3 linked regions of the Caenorhabditis elegans genome follow. The protein of the gene in region 1 purifies or fractionates together with the protein of each later gene. This does not show direct contact. Each region holds a gene or a part of one and is shown in the gene's direction. Other genes may lie near its edges.

The links.
Region 2: the proteins of ife-3 (region 1) and C44B9.2 purify together in Caenorhabditis elegans (affinity purification with mass spectrometry, with the first as the bait; one large-scale study listed by BioGRID). This does not show direct contact.
Region 3: the proteins of ife-3 (region 1) and F10E9.5 purify together in Caenorhabditis elegans (affinity purification with mass spectrometry, with the first as the bait; one large-scale study listed by BioGRID). This does not show direct contact.

What each region holds. Positions count from the first base shown.
Region 1 is NC_003283.11:5,789-10,108, reverse strand, and holds ife-3 (Eukaryotic translation initiation factor 4E-3), read left to right. Parts: upstream 1-2,279; 5' UTR 2,280-2,290; coding exon 2,291-2,458; intron 2,459-2,499; coding exon 2,500-2,676; intron 2,677-2,715; coding exon 2,716-2,951; intron 2,952-2,998; coding exon 2,999-3,173; 3' UTR 3,174-3,521; downstream 3,522-4,320. Other genes in the region: B0348.10 (uncharacterized protein), read left to right, coding at 1,370-1,534; idpp-2 (Intrinsically Disordered Protein, expressed in Pharynx), read right to left, coding at 3,598-4,085, 4,143-4,320. UniProt on the Caenorhabditis elegans protein: Recognizes and binds the 7-methylguanosine-containing mRNA cap during an early step in the initiation of protein synthesis and facilitates ribosome binding by inducing the unwinding of the mRNAs secondary structures.
Region 2 is NC_003281.10:10,873,387-10,879,180, forward strand, and holds C44B9.2 (Lgl_C domain-containing protein), read left to right. Parts: upstream 1-2,045; 5' UTR 2,046-2,072; coding exon 2,073-2,095; intron 2,096-2,150; coding exon 2,151-2,267; intron 2,268-3,031; coding exon 3,032-3,195; intron 3,196-3,248; coding exon 3,249-3,766; intron 3,767-3,821; coding exon 3,822-4,031; intron 4,032-4,499; coding exon 4,500-4,628; 3' UTR 4,629-4,856; downstream 4,857-5,794. Other genes in the region: vps-50 (Vps54_N domain-containing protein), read left to right, coding at 885-1,142; C44B9.3 (C2 domain-containing protein), read right to left, coding at 4,996-5,188, 5,241-5,557.
Region 3 is NC_003281.10:8,305,397-8,309,386, forward strand, and holds F10E9.5 (uncharacterized protein), read left to right. Parts: upstream 1-2,195; 5' UTR 2,196-2,261; coding exon 2,262-2,379; intron 2,380-2,422; coding exon 2,423-2,617; intron 2,618-2,673; coding exon 2,674-2,757; intron 2,758-2,810; coding exon 2,811-3,013; 3' UTR 3,014-3,052; downstream 3,053-3,990. Other genes in the region: mig-10 (Abnormal cell migration protein 10), read left to right, coding at 1-175; F10E9.7 (uncharacterized protein), read right to left, coding at 443-732, 785-890; F10E9.4 (uncharacterized protein), read left to right, coding at 3,154-3,497, 3,649-3,762, 3,854-3,969.

The sequences.
Region 1 (4,320 bases):
GCACGATTTAGACAGTTTCAAGTCAAATTTTTGACGATAAATTATCAATTTTACAAAGCTATTGGATCTTCGAAAATTAGTCTTGCAGCCTCTAATAGTCTTGCAGTCTCTATTAGTCTTGCACCCCTACGGGTCAATTGAAAATTAGTCTTGCATGCAAGACTAATAGAGGGAATACGGTATTTTCGTTGTTTTTATTGAATTTTACGTCGAAAAAAGTATTAAGAACTTAAAAATTAAAAAAAAAACTAGTTTTCGTTTTTTGGAGCGTTTTCAATAGCTCGTGGAGCGCGATTTCACCAGAGATCTTTTTACAGCGTTTCCATATAACGTGGAATTCCTCATTGTTATGCGAACAATTTAAGACGCTTAAATAGGAAATGATAACATAATTATTTTGTCGAAATATATAAGAAGAGTCTGAAAAAATTGAGCTTCCGACTCTTTTTTGCCGCAAAAAAAGTTTACTTTTTTCCAGTAAACTTTTTGTGCCGCACACCTCTATTCTGCAAACAAACTATAGAATTTCAAATGCTGTGGGCTTCGCGTGTGTGAGTGGAAATGAAAATAAATAAATACATACTAAAAAGTGATAATCACATCAAAATTTAGTTCCTACCGCTGCGACACTGAGAAGTTGTCAAAATTTAAGATTTTAGCTGAAAATATACCATTTTCCGAGCGGTCATAACTTTTTTTTTTGAGAAATTTTCAGAACATCTCATTACGAAATTAGTTTTGGAACATTTTGGGTCCCAAAAAGCCAAGTCTCGAATTTCGGTGATCCTCCTTTAAGTCTGTGGAACTACTGAAAACTAGCAAAAAACGATGATTGTTAGGAGAATAATGCGGCTACGAAAATGTTGTGTGTATGTGTGTGTGGGGGCGTGGCGCTCTCCGAAGACTTTACGTGGACGACGTGGTAATTATGACGGTCAGAAGGCGGACAAGAGTGCGAGAGACGCAGAGAAGAGAAGCCCAACAGCCGTCGCCGAAAAAATAGACAAAGTATTCGTGACTATGGCTCACCGCCAACACTCTAAAACGGGAAAATCGATGTGGTGGAGAGGAGGAGGAGACGGAGGAGAGAGAGAAATACAGCGAAAGAAGTCGTCGTCGGAGGGCCCCCGACGTCGTCTGACGGCGGGGTGTCAGACGCAGTAGGTTAGACGAATGGCGCCTCGGGGCAACGCTTGCTGCGTCTCTGCGATTCGGAGAACTGTCTGGCCACCTTTTTACGGGACGATGGGCAGGGAAAACAAGGCAAAGTGAGAGAGAGAGAGAGAGATATGTGCGACGAGTTGAGGCACACAGAGAGGGAAAAGGCGCCCAGCGGCAGCAGCAGCAACACCCAGACCGATATATTTATATGTGCATGTTGTGGAGGCTGCTGCTGTATGTGTCTGTGTGTATGCTCACAAGAGCTCGAGACACCGGGACGGCTCATGAATTCCTGACGACGACGGCGACGCTGAATGCGGCAGAAGGAGAAAAGAAAACGGAGACGCACTCGTGGATAAATTGGAGAAATTGAGAACCACAGGCTGTAAACAATGCACATTTTTTGGGAAAACTCAGATTATCGACTGCAATCTGGAAAATAAATTTTTGAATTTTAAACCTGAAAATATAATTTTTTAGCCTGAATTCCCTGAAAGAGCTCAATTTCTGTGCGAATAACGAGTTTTCAGCGATTAATTTCATTATTTTACCGAATTTTCAATAAAATTTGAAAAATTTTACCTAAACAACTCGATTTTTATTTTAATACAAAAATAATTTTCATATTTTCCGCTGTTTTGTTTAAAGGGGGGCGCAATTCCGCAGACAAGATACTTCGCAACGACAAAAACTACGGTTACACTCGTTTTGCGTGTGTCTGGTGTTTGAATTTCAGGATTCGCGCCTTTCTTTCCATTTCTTCATTTTCCAAGGTTTTTCGGGGAAATCGCTCTTTTTTTTTTCACTTTTACGATTAAAAAACAGCTAGAATGTTTAAAAACTACTAGGAATTTCATGGGAAACGAATCATTTGATGATTTTTCGTCGAAGTTGAGCTGAATTCATTTTCTACTTTGTTTTATTGTTTTCCAAGCTTTAATATCAATTTATTGTGCCCGATGTTACCAATTACACTTGAAAAATCTAAAAAGCTTGGAAACTAGCCGAAAATGTGCAGTAAAACAAAATTTCCTATAAAATCCGAGTTATTTGAACCAAATTCATACTCTTCTCTATTTTATCGTTTTCCGAGCTCTAATCGTATATAATATTACCTATTTTCAGCTAAATGAGCACATCCGTAGCGGAAAACAAAGCATTGTCAGCTTCCGGCGATGTGAATGCGTCCGATGCTTCAGTTCCTCCAGAGCTTCTCACCAGACACCCCCTCCAGAATCGCTGGGCTCTCTGGTACTTGAAAGCTGACCGTAACAAGGAATGGGAGGATTGTCTGAAGGTAGAAGATTTTTAAATACGTCTTTTATCGATTTTTTCCAGATGGTTTCACTTTTCGACACTGTCGAGGACTTCTGGTCGCTGTACAATCACATTCAGTCTGCCGGAGGATTGAACTGGGGATCCGATTATTACTTGTTCAAGGAAGGAATCAAGCCAATGTGGGAGGACGTCAACAACGTTCAAGGTGGACGTTGGTTGGTTGTTGTCGATAAGCAAGTACGTTTTGAGAAATATATTTTATTCAATGAATCATAGAAGCTTCAGAGAAGAACGCAATTGCTCGATCACTACTGGTTGGAGCTGTTGATGGCTATTGTTGGAGAGCAATTCGACGAGTACGGAGACTACATCTGCGGAGCTGTCGTGAATGTTCGTCAAAAGGGTGACAAGGTTTCCTTGTGGACTCGTGATGCTACTCGCGATGATGTCAATCTTCGCATCGGACAGGTTTTGAAGCAGAAATTGAGCATTCCGGATACTGAGATTTTGAGGTAATTTTACAATTTTAGTATTTGCTATCTAAGTAAAATATTTCCAGATACGAAGTTCACAAGGACTCGTCGGCTCGCACCTCATCGACTGTCAAGCCACGCATATGTCTTCCAGCCAAGGATCCAGCACCAGTGAAGGAAAAGGGACCAGCCGCAACGACTTCTCCATCGAATCCCGGCACGGAGGCTACAGGAACTTCTCCAGCCACCCCAACTCCTTAAGCATATTCTAAAGATCTCACCAATTCCTCTCACCGTAAATGAGCTTCCCCGTACTCCCAGTCTCAATGTTGTCTTGAAAAATGAACTGTTTTTCGGACACGATCATCGCTTTAACTATTCGAAAATCAGCTCATTTTTCAAGTCGTACCCCCCACCTAATGTATTGGTGCTTCCCCTCCAATTTGTACCTACTGTTTCGCTTCCCCCTATTGATTTACCGGTTTTCGTATTGCTCTCTTGTTGTTACTAGATTCGAGACTGATCGACGCCTGTAGCCGAATTCGTTTGTTCTTCAGGTTAATTGATGAATATATATTTATTCGGTAAATATAAATAGATATGTTAGTTATTATTCTTCTTCACACACATGATTTGTAGGGCGTTTGATTTTGTACATTTTTAAAAATTGATTCTATTCTTGTTTTCAGGCAGACTTCTCCGATGTCTTTACAGTTTTTGCAGGCTTTGCCGTAGTCGATGTGTTCGAGCTAGACGAAGGAGCTGCGGCAACAGTCTTCTTGGTTGGCTTCCTAGCTTTCCGAGGTTTCCGTGTGCTCGTCGTGCTCGGCGAGCCGGTAGTGGTCTTTTTGTTTGCTTTGGCCGCATCGTCGTGTTGATAGGAATCAACATCCCGCGACATAATTCCCATCGGAGAGCCAATTCCTCGGTTCCAGTGATTCGAAGCAATGTTCATGTTGTAATCTATGGGAATTCCTCCTCCACGTGATGGGATCTGTGGTCCACTGCCGCCATAAAGCATACGCTCAAGTTGGGAATCATGGCTTCCGAATCGTTCGCGAAGATATGCGGGACCATAGCGTGACGCATAGGTGGCAAGCTCGCGAAGTGATGGGATCGCGGAATTTGTAGCTCCATTGAAACTGTTCATCAGGTCGTTAGATGCGTAATCAGCTGGAAAATAGCGGATTTTAAAGAATTTTATAGCGCATAGAAAAATCGTATACTTACGTGGATACTCAGTCTGTGGAATTTTCGTCTTCCTGGAGCTCATAGGCGGCACAACGGCACCCCGTCTCATACCAACAGTGCTCCCGTAGTACCCAGATCGACTTCCTCCGACCAGTCCGGAAAATGGAGCGGCCGGCCGGATATTGTACTCTTCTAGACCCCCAGGATATGGGGAACC
Region 2 (5,794 bases), on another chromosome or scaffold:
TGCCGGAATTGAAGACTTTCGGCAAATCGGCAAATCGACAAATCGCCGGAACTGAATACATCCGGGAAATTGCCGGAATTGAAAACTTCCGGCAAATCGACAAATTGCCGGAATTGAAAACTTCCGGCAAATCGGCAAATTGCCGGAATTGAATACATCCGACAAACCGGCAAATTGTCGGTATTAAAAACTTCCGGCAAATCGGCGAATTGTCGCAATTGAATACATCCGGCAAATCGGCAAATGGGCAAAATGTCGGAATTAAAAACTTCCGGCAAATAGGAAAATTGCCGGAATTGAAGACTTTCGGCAAAGCGGCGAGTTGTCGAAATTAAAAACTTCCGGCAAATCGGCGAATTGTCGGAATTGAACACATCCGGCAAATCGGCGAATTGTCGGAATTGAATACATCCGGCAAATCGGCAAATCGGCAAATTGTCGGAATGGTAAACTTGCGGCAAATCGGGAAATTTCCGAATTGAAGACTTTCGGCAAAGCGACAAATCGGCAAATTGCCGGAATTGAAGACTTTCGGCAAAGCGGCAAATCGGCAAATTGTCGGAATGGTAAACTTCCGGAAAATAGGAAAATAGCCGGAATTGAAGACTTTTGGCAAAGCGGCAAATCGGCAAATTGTCGGAATGGTAAACTACCGGCAAATCGGCAAATCGGCAAATTTCCGGAATCGAATACACCCGGCAAACCGGCAATTTTCCGGAATAGAAAACATCCGGCAAATTGCCGGAATTGAATACATCCGGCAAACCGGCAACTTGCCGAATTCTACGACAAAAAATTTGCCGAAGGGCAATTACCGCCCAAAAACTAGGAAAATATTATTGAAAAATCGTTTCGAGACCCGAAAAATTCCAGTATTTTTTCAGCTGGAGCCCCTCTGCGGAATCAAGCCAGTTCCTCACGCGAGTTTCGTCGATGGATACATCAAAGCCTATTATCTGCCGGAAAATGGTCTAGAACAGTGGATAAAGACGCATTCTGTACGGGGTTTTTCCAATTTAATAAATTATTTTCCCGAAATTTTGCAGGAATACTCATCAAAGCAGCTGTCTTCTCTACTCGGTGCCGCAGCTCACGTGAGCAAAAAAGCCCGACTTCGGATATTGGACGCTTTGAAAGACTAGAATTTTATGTAGAAATAGTTTGATATAATTGTATATTTTGTCACTAATTTATTAATTTATTTTGCATTTTTTTTCTTTTCAGAAAATTGAAATTTCGACAAAAATTGGGTTCTTTTCGCGATTGAAAATTTGAGAAAAATGGAAAATTTGAATCTGCGCCTTTAAAACTACCGTACCCACTGCCACAGTTTTAAAGGCGCATCCTGTTCCAGAAATCGCGACGAGACCCAATTTTTGCATTAATTATTGATTTGAAATCTTTTCATGTCATCATCTCTGTCCTCATAATCAATAAATTTTTAATACAACAAAAAACCCGATTTTTTATCACGGTCTCGACACGACAAATTTTTGCTCATTTAAAAAAGTGTGCACCTTTAAAGGGTACTGTAGTTTCAAACTCCTAGGAATTTTTATTGATTTTTCAAAGTTTTCCGATTAAATTATATTTATTTGATGAATTTAAAACATTATTATGAAAAAATAAACAGAAAAATGAAAGTTTGAAACTACAGTATCCTTTAAAGGCGCACACATTTTTGCAATAAACAAATCCATCGTGTCGAGACCTGGTACCGTATTTTGGCGCCTTTAAAACTACCGTACCCACGACCTCGTAAAATTTTCAGTAGGCATATTTTCGTGGTGAGACCCAAAATTTTCAAATTTTATTTCTAGAGTTTAAAGGGATAAATCGCGACGAGACCCAATTTTTGCGCAAAATTTTTATTTGAAAAACGAGATTTTTTTCAATTTTGAATTATTTTTTCCAAAAAAAAATAAAAGCACGTGAAGATTAATCCACAAAATTTAACAAAAAAAAAAGGTACGTGGCACGCCACGTGGCGAAACGTAACATAGTCCAACTCAGAGAATCAGAGACGAAAAAAAATCGGAAAATTCAGTACGACGAATCTCCGGCAAGCCAAAATGACGTTGCGAAACCAGAAAGGGTGAGTTGGAGCATTTTTTGATTGTGAGCTCTCTGCTGACAAATCCGTGTTTCAGAGATTCTGTGACGCCTCAACGACGTGCAACAGCTGCTCCGGGAGCTCCATCTCAACAACTCAAAATGGCGGAGAAAACGACGGCACCGTTCGCTGTGATGTCTGTGGAACTTCCGCCGTTAGTTTTTTTTTCGGATTTTTTTAAGAGGAAATCCCAGAAAATTGTGAAGAAATTTCACTTTATGCTAGTAAAATCTGGAAATTTTCTTCAAAATCTGGCTGGAATACAGGTTTTGCCACGTGGCCGCGAAATGAGAAAGTTCGGCCACCGATTACTTTTTTCGCGGCCACGTTTTCGCTCTCAGATTTTTCACCATTTGTGAAAAGAAAACCCCGAAAAATTGGCTTTTTCATAGCGAAATAACTGGAAAATTTTAGAAAAAGCCAGGAATCCACGTGGAAATCTAAATTTTTGGAGTTTTTGTATAGGCTGCCACGTGGCCGTGAAATGCGGAACCTAGGCCATCCCTGCACAAATGGATGAAAAATCGGCTTTATCGAAAAATTAAAGAAATTACAGTTATAGAAAAAAGTGTAAATCTGGAAATTTTAAGAAAACTAGGCCACCGATAACTTTTTCGCGGCCACGTTATTTTTTTCCGGAAGGGCATTCAGGTATTGCTGCATGGCCGTGAAATGCGAAAACTAGGCCACGCAGCGAATTCTGAAAAAATGCACCTCAGATCCTGGAAAACAGAGTGATGGCCGTCATAAATTGGGTTTCTCGGCCATATTTTTGAAATTTTGCTCATAAAACTTCCAAATTCGGCGAAATGCGATTTTTTCAAGACATTTCGCAAATTTTCTGGAATTTTTAAAGCAAAATTCCGCTCAGACTACTTAAAACCACCAATTTTTTTTCAAAATTTCCAAAATTTGCAGAGGTCTTCCACGAGTCAACAACTCGGTATTCGATGACTTATCGCCACCAGCTCACATTCCATTCAGTGGATGGAAACAGTCAAGTGGAAGCAACAACAGTGGAAAGAAGAATCAGAGAAAGTCGACACCTCGGAAACAGGAAAATTCTTCTGCTTCTAGGCAAGGTGAGTAGTTTGTAGTCTTCTAGTAGATCAAAAGTAACCTTAAAATTGTTCAGGAACTATTCCGAATCCAAATCTAAAGTTCTTCCAACTGGTCAGCCCATTGCCATTTGCAACCAATTCAGTCCCAATTAGAGGAATCAAGACAGATCAGGGTGTTGTCAAGTATCCACTGCTCCTTTGCTCCCAGGAAGGAACTGTGATGGTATCCATGGCCGCCGGAATAATCGTCGAACTGTGTATGGATCGCAGTTTTCGTGTCGTCTGCAACACGGATTTCATGGCCTACATCAACTCGAATGGTGCCGTCTGCAGTTTTCTTCACAAATATGCAAAGATTGTGCATCAAAAGGAGCATGTTCACTGCAAATTCCTGAATACAAATGATCGAATGGCTGTGATGGGACCAGAAGGAATTCTATTCAGTATGGACTCACTCACAGAAGCCTATCTTTTGAGTGGAGCCAAAGAATCTGGACCTTCGGCGGTGGTTCTTGAGAAACCAGAGTTTCCGATCATGAATATGGATTATACCATTCAACAAATGTATGGAGAATCTGATCTTGGAGCAAGTGTAAGTTAAAATTAAAGCATTCTTTCAACTTGAATTAAATTCTTTTTTCTTTCAGAATATGGAAAAGTGCGAAGCTGTAATGCAGCAAGCTCAATACGAAAAGCACCCGGATGGACTCCTCACTGTGCATATCAACGGGATGCTTCTCAAGTACAACACTCAATCGGGAGAGGTGAATGTGGAGGCAAAACCAGTGAAGCTTACCGTCAATGCGACAACTCTCACGGCTCAGCTCAGAAGCGCTTTTATTGATATGGCTATTCAGGTAAGAAATTGATTTAATTAAGAAAAAAAATATATACGGTCAAAAAGTTTTCAAATTTTAATGAAAATCTAGTTTTTTGCTGTAATTTGCCTGAATCTGTTCGAAACCCAATTTTTTGTGCAGTTTTGGGTTCAAACTAGCACTGGGCTTAGAATTTTTGCTGAAAGTTGATGAAAAATTATTAATTTCGACAAAAATCGGATTTAAAATCGAAAAATTATGTGAAAAACGAGAAAATCGAAGAAAAACATTTGAAAACAATTAACAAAAATGTTTGGCGGGCTACGGTAGTTTTAAAGGCGCATGGCCGGGGATGAGCAACTTCCTTATGAGACCCGACTGCAAATATTCCGCTGTGCGCCTTTAAGATTACCGTAGCCAGCTTTTTTTTGCAATTTTTTTGACAGAAAATCAATAAAATCGAAAAAAAAAGTTAAAATAAACCGAAAAAAATAAATTTTCTTTCAGGACAAGGACAAATGCTACGTGAAGCGAGGCGAGAAACGAATTCACACATCCCGCTCGGGTATGGTGATCTCCGACGGCACCTGTACAATTTCCATGGACCAATTCGGCTGCATTCTTTCATGTTCATAAGTAACTCCCCGTCTGTTTTATTCCTAATATTTTTATTGTTTTATTATTTCCCAAGTTCCCCCCCCCCCCCCCCCCAGTATTATTAATTCCCTTAAGTTCTCCATTGAGACTCCAGCATACACCTAACTTTTATCCCATTATTCCTCGAATCATTGGGCCAAGAAAACCGCTACTGAGCCGGTAATTTATTTATTACATAAATCATAAAAAATAAAAATTTTAGTTTAATTTACGATGAACATACATCAAATGAGCAGTATTATATCACAAGAAGAATACAAATTAGAGATCTGATTAAATTTTGTGGCAAAAAAAATTAGAATTTTATGAAAACTGTTGGGAGAAATTTTAAAAAATTAAAAAATTATTATAGTGACGCATTTCCGGAATCACTTGATTCGTCGTCCTCCCGATGTGTAACTTTATAGACACATGTCGTCTCTCTTGGTGGATTATATGTTGAATCAATATTAAATGGTTGGAATGATGACCATGGTTCACATCCGTATTCTGTCCAACGTTCTGATGATGATTTTGTGGTGAAGAGGCCCGTGTCGCTACTGAAAATTGATTTTTTTCGATTTTTGAATCTAAATATGTGAATTTCCTTACCTCCTCCCGCCAAGTACAGTACTATTTGCCTGTGGCAATGGCATATCAAAGAACTCAGGCTTCTTTCGATCACTAATATACACACAGAGGAGTACGGTAGTCGATGTGAGAGCCAGCAAAGAGAAAAACGCAAGAATGAGCATTCCGATGAGCAATGAGGTGTTGTTCGAAGTTCCGAAAAATGGAGAAAACGTGGTGGATGGTGGTGCTGGGGTTACTGTAGTTGTAGTAGTTGTTTGTGAATCATCTACACACCATGGGCATACTGTATTGGATGCTTGAACTTTGACGGTTGACATGAAGCATTGACCTTGGATCTGGAAATTTTGGGGATTTTGGAACAAAATTAGACTTAAAATTCAATTTTTAATGGGGTTTTTAGCAAGAAGGTTCGAAATAAAATAAAAATATTCAATTAAATATCAAAATCTTGTTTTTCTATTCGAATTTTTGTGAATTTTGCAAAAAAAAGGCGGAAAAACCGTGCCATTATTTTTTTGGAATATTTTGAAATATTTCATTTTTTCAGCTAAAATCTGATTTTTTCGCTAGCT
Region 3 (3,990 bases), on another chromosome or scaffold:
AGTGACTCCACCAAAGCCTTGTACTCCATTAACTTCTAAGAAAGCACCTCCACCGCCTCCGAAGAGATCTGACACAACAAAATTGCAATCAGCTTCACCTATGGCCCCGGCGAAAAATGATTTGGAAGCTGCGTTGGCGAGAAGGCGTGAGAAAATGGCAACCATGGAGTGTTAGACAACATTTAGAATACTGGATATTTCATACTCTTTCAAAAATTCTTGTTATTACCGGTGTGCTGGAACCTGAACCTGAAAATTCTTTACATGAACAATTTTTTGTAACTCTCTTTACTACAAACTTCCACCCACCAACTCACATCGCCTTGACACACTTTTACAGAGAAATGCCTTTATTTATTACACTGATAATGTCATGTTATTCTTGAAAATGTTTTTTGTTTGAAAATTAATAAAAAAAATTTGAGCATTGCATTTTTGAAAGTCAATTGTTAAAGTTGATAGAAATCGTTCGAGTTGGGGTATACTTTTCACATTGAATCGAACTGGCTTCAAGCATCTCGAGAATTTTTAATTCTTTTGTTGTTGTCGGCGAGTTCCAGTGCCAAATTTTCGATATTTTCAAATTCAAAATCTTCTCCAAACAGTGACTACAATCGGGAAAACTTGAGGTGTATATGATACAATCCATTCCGTTGTGGGATTTATTTTCCAATTTTTGAAGTGCAACTGATATTCCACAGTTGCATACATTGGAATTTGACGGAAGAAGCTCTGCAATAACATGAATTAATATTATTTAAACATTTTTATAATTCTACAGTACCTCCTGCGTATCCAGACACAATTTGGTAGTGTTCTTGATCTACGATGTAGCATCCATCGGGTCGTTTTACTGTACTCATTTCACTCAGCATTCTTGCCATATACATGTGATGTTGATGCCATGTTATATAATCGAGTCGTTTACCGGTTGGACCGAGGTTTGATTCCAAATTGGCCTGTAAATTTGAAGAAAAATTTGAATTTGAAATTTGAAGAATTAGAATCAGATCGATAATGTCTTGAAATTCATTTAGGGAACGATTTTTGTTTTTTGATTATGTGTTCAAATATTGATTGAATTTTTCAAAATAATATCTATATTTGTTTTCTTGGGCATAATTATGCAACTTTTTTCGAACGAGGACCGAGAAAAAATGCGAAAAATCGGTGTTTGCACACAATACACCGCATTTTACGACATTTTGTACTTGCTTTGTTTTCTTGTGTTTTTCACCGATTTTTCCCGTGATTTCTTATTAAAACTGATAAATAAATATTTTTGTTAATGCTAAAATAATTTCCAGATGAAAAAATTGTGAATTCAGTCGGCAAGTAGCGGTAAAAGTGGTCAATGTAATATGATGGATTACGGGAATAAAAAACCCAAACTTTTTCCCAAACATGACACATATGCTGTTTAGATGCTAAAAGTACCTGATTATCATAACGAGACCGCTGAAAAAGTTTTGAGATTTTCAAAATTCAACTTTTTTTGTGAAAAAGTCGAGATTTTGGCACAAAATGTTGAATTATGAAAATCTCAAAACTTTTTCAGCGGTCTCGTTATGAAAATCAGGTACTTTTAGCATCCAAACAGCATATGTATCATGTTTGGGAAAAAGTTTGGGTTTTTTATTCCCGTAATCCATCATATTACAGTGACCACTTTTACCGCTACTTGCCGACTGAATTCACAATTTTTTCACTTGGAAATTGTTTTAGCATCTGCAAAAAATATTTATTTATTAGTTTTGATAAGAAAAAACGGAAAAAATCGGTGAAAAACGAAAGAAAACACGCAGAAAACAAAGCAAGATAAATGGCCGCTGAAATTTGTCGGGGACTCGGTCATGGCCTAGAAACCTTTTTGCCTCGTCCCTCGTTCGAAAAAAGTTGCAGCATAAAGGAAAAATAAAAGTCGAGTGAAACAATTTCTAATAAATAATACAACAAATATATAATTACCTCTGCAGAAACACTCGGCAACTCGTATCTCACTGTCGGCGACTCAACATTTGACATTTTATGTGTAATCTGAAAAATTAATTTCAAAATAAATATTGAAGAGAAAATGTTTTAACTTATAATTTTAAATCGTAAAAAACTCCGCCATTTTTCTCACACAACGACGCTCCGAAATAACGCGGCCGAATTTTTGTGAAACTTCGGCCACGTTTTGTGTAATCCTCTCGGGAAATAAATATTGTTAATTTCTTTTCGAAAAAAACTTATTTATTTAATACTTTTAATTATTTAAAATGAATAATTTTCTGAAACACAATGATTGGGCAAGAGATCCTGCATTCAATCATTTCTGGAGACACTATGACTTTTCGAATCAATGGATAAAGCAACATACAGATGCATCACGTCAAGGTAATTGGTTAGCTTCTGTTCTTAAAATGTTGTATATTTTCAGTTCAAATGCAAATGGTCCAGAGAGATAATCTTTCGACTGAACAATGTTTTAGTGACTCTGAAGAGCCGGAAGTGATCGAAAGACTTTCTCGGTGTGAAATATATAGTGAAATTGAGAATGAAGAATCAGATATTGAAGAAATGAGTGAAGAGATGAAAGCATTTTTTGCAAAAACACAAGAACATCGTCAAAAGTGTAAGTTTAATCGGAATTAGACGAATATTTGTTTTAAATAACTTTGTTTATTTCAGTAAAAGAACAAAGAGCGGCAGAAAAACGGAAAGAAGGGCAATCAAGTTCAAAAAGTCAAGAGGAATACGTTAACGTTGATAAAAGTAAGAAAATTGGTTTATTTAACGGTTTGATAAATTTTAATGGGCATTTTTAGTTAGTATACGTGGGCGTATAGAGCAATCAACGGATCACCGAAACGCCAGCGCCGAATTCATAGCAAAAAGAGAGAAAGCGAAAAAAGATTACGGAGAATCAGCGACAAAGATTCTAGCAATGGAAAGTACATTGGCAATGAAGTTTGAATCCGAATATTCACAAAATCCTCAGCTCTGGCCTAATATTCCATTCAGATTTTGACTATTCTTTATATGAAGCTAAAAGCATTTTTCGTGTCTACTGTATTTGTTTTTATGCACTGGTTTTCGAGCCGAAAATGTTTACCTGTTTCGTTAATTATTTCATATCAAATGTTTACCAATCTTTACAGAATTGTAAAAATGGGAAAGAAAAAGTTTATCGAGAACGAGGATGGAACTACAGAAGTCCAGGAAACAGAAAGTGAAGCACCAAAGGATAAAAAGGAGAAGAAAGAATATCGATTGAGAACTCTTGGAGCAAACATTAAAACATCAAAGAAAAGTTTCAAAGAACAATTTTTCATGAATTATGAAGATGGACTCAAACTAATCAAAAAGATGCGCGGAAAGGGAAAAGGAGGTCAACTCGTTCAAAAAGTGATGCCACGTCATATCTCCTTACCTTATCACATGTCTGGAAAAGCTGCAATGGAAGAAGCATGTGATTGGATTGCTCAAAATACTGTCGGAAAGTATAGAAAAGAGTAAGTTGATGAGTTAAAATATACAAAGAGTGTTAATTTTTAATTTTTATTCGTTATTCTCAAGAAAAACATTTTTTTGTATAATGATATGAATGCTGAAAACTGAATAACGATTTTATAATTCACAACGAATATTTATTTTTGATTTCAGATACAAAGGAATCGTCGTAGCCGTTGGAAGTGTCGATCTTGCATCTGCGCCACGTGTCATTTCCGACCAATATGCTTTCCATACCGATGTTGCAATTAATCAAATTGTTTTCATGTAAGATTTTGAATTTTCATAGGGAATTCATTTATTTTTAGACTATCAAAAATGATTCTCGTAATTTCAATAGTTTTGAATTAATTTCCAGCCCAAAAATCGGAGATCAATACGAAGCAAAAGTGAAATATGTGCAAGAAGGTCTTATGGTCGGTGTTGTCATGGATATGATCACAATTCACATTAAGCAGAATGACAAGACTTCAGGTAAATGAAAATTAGACTATT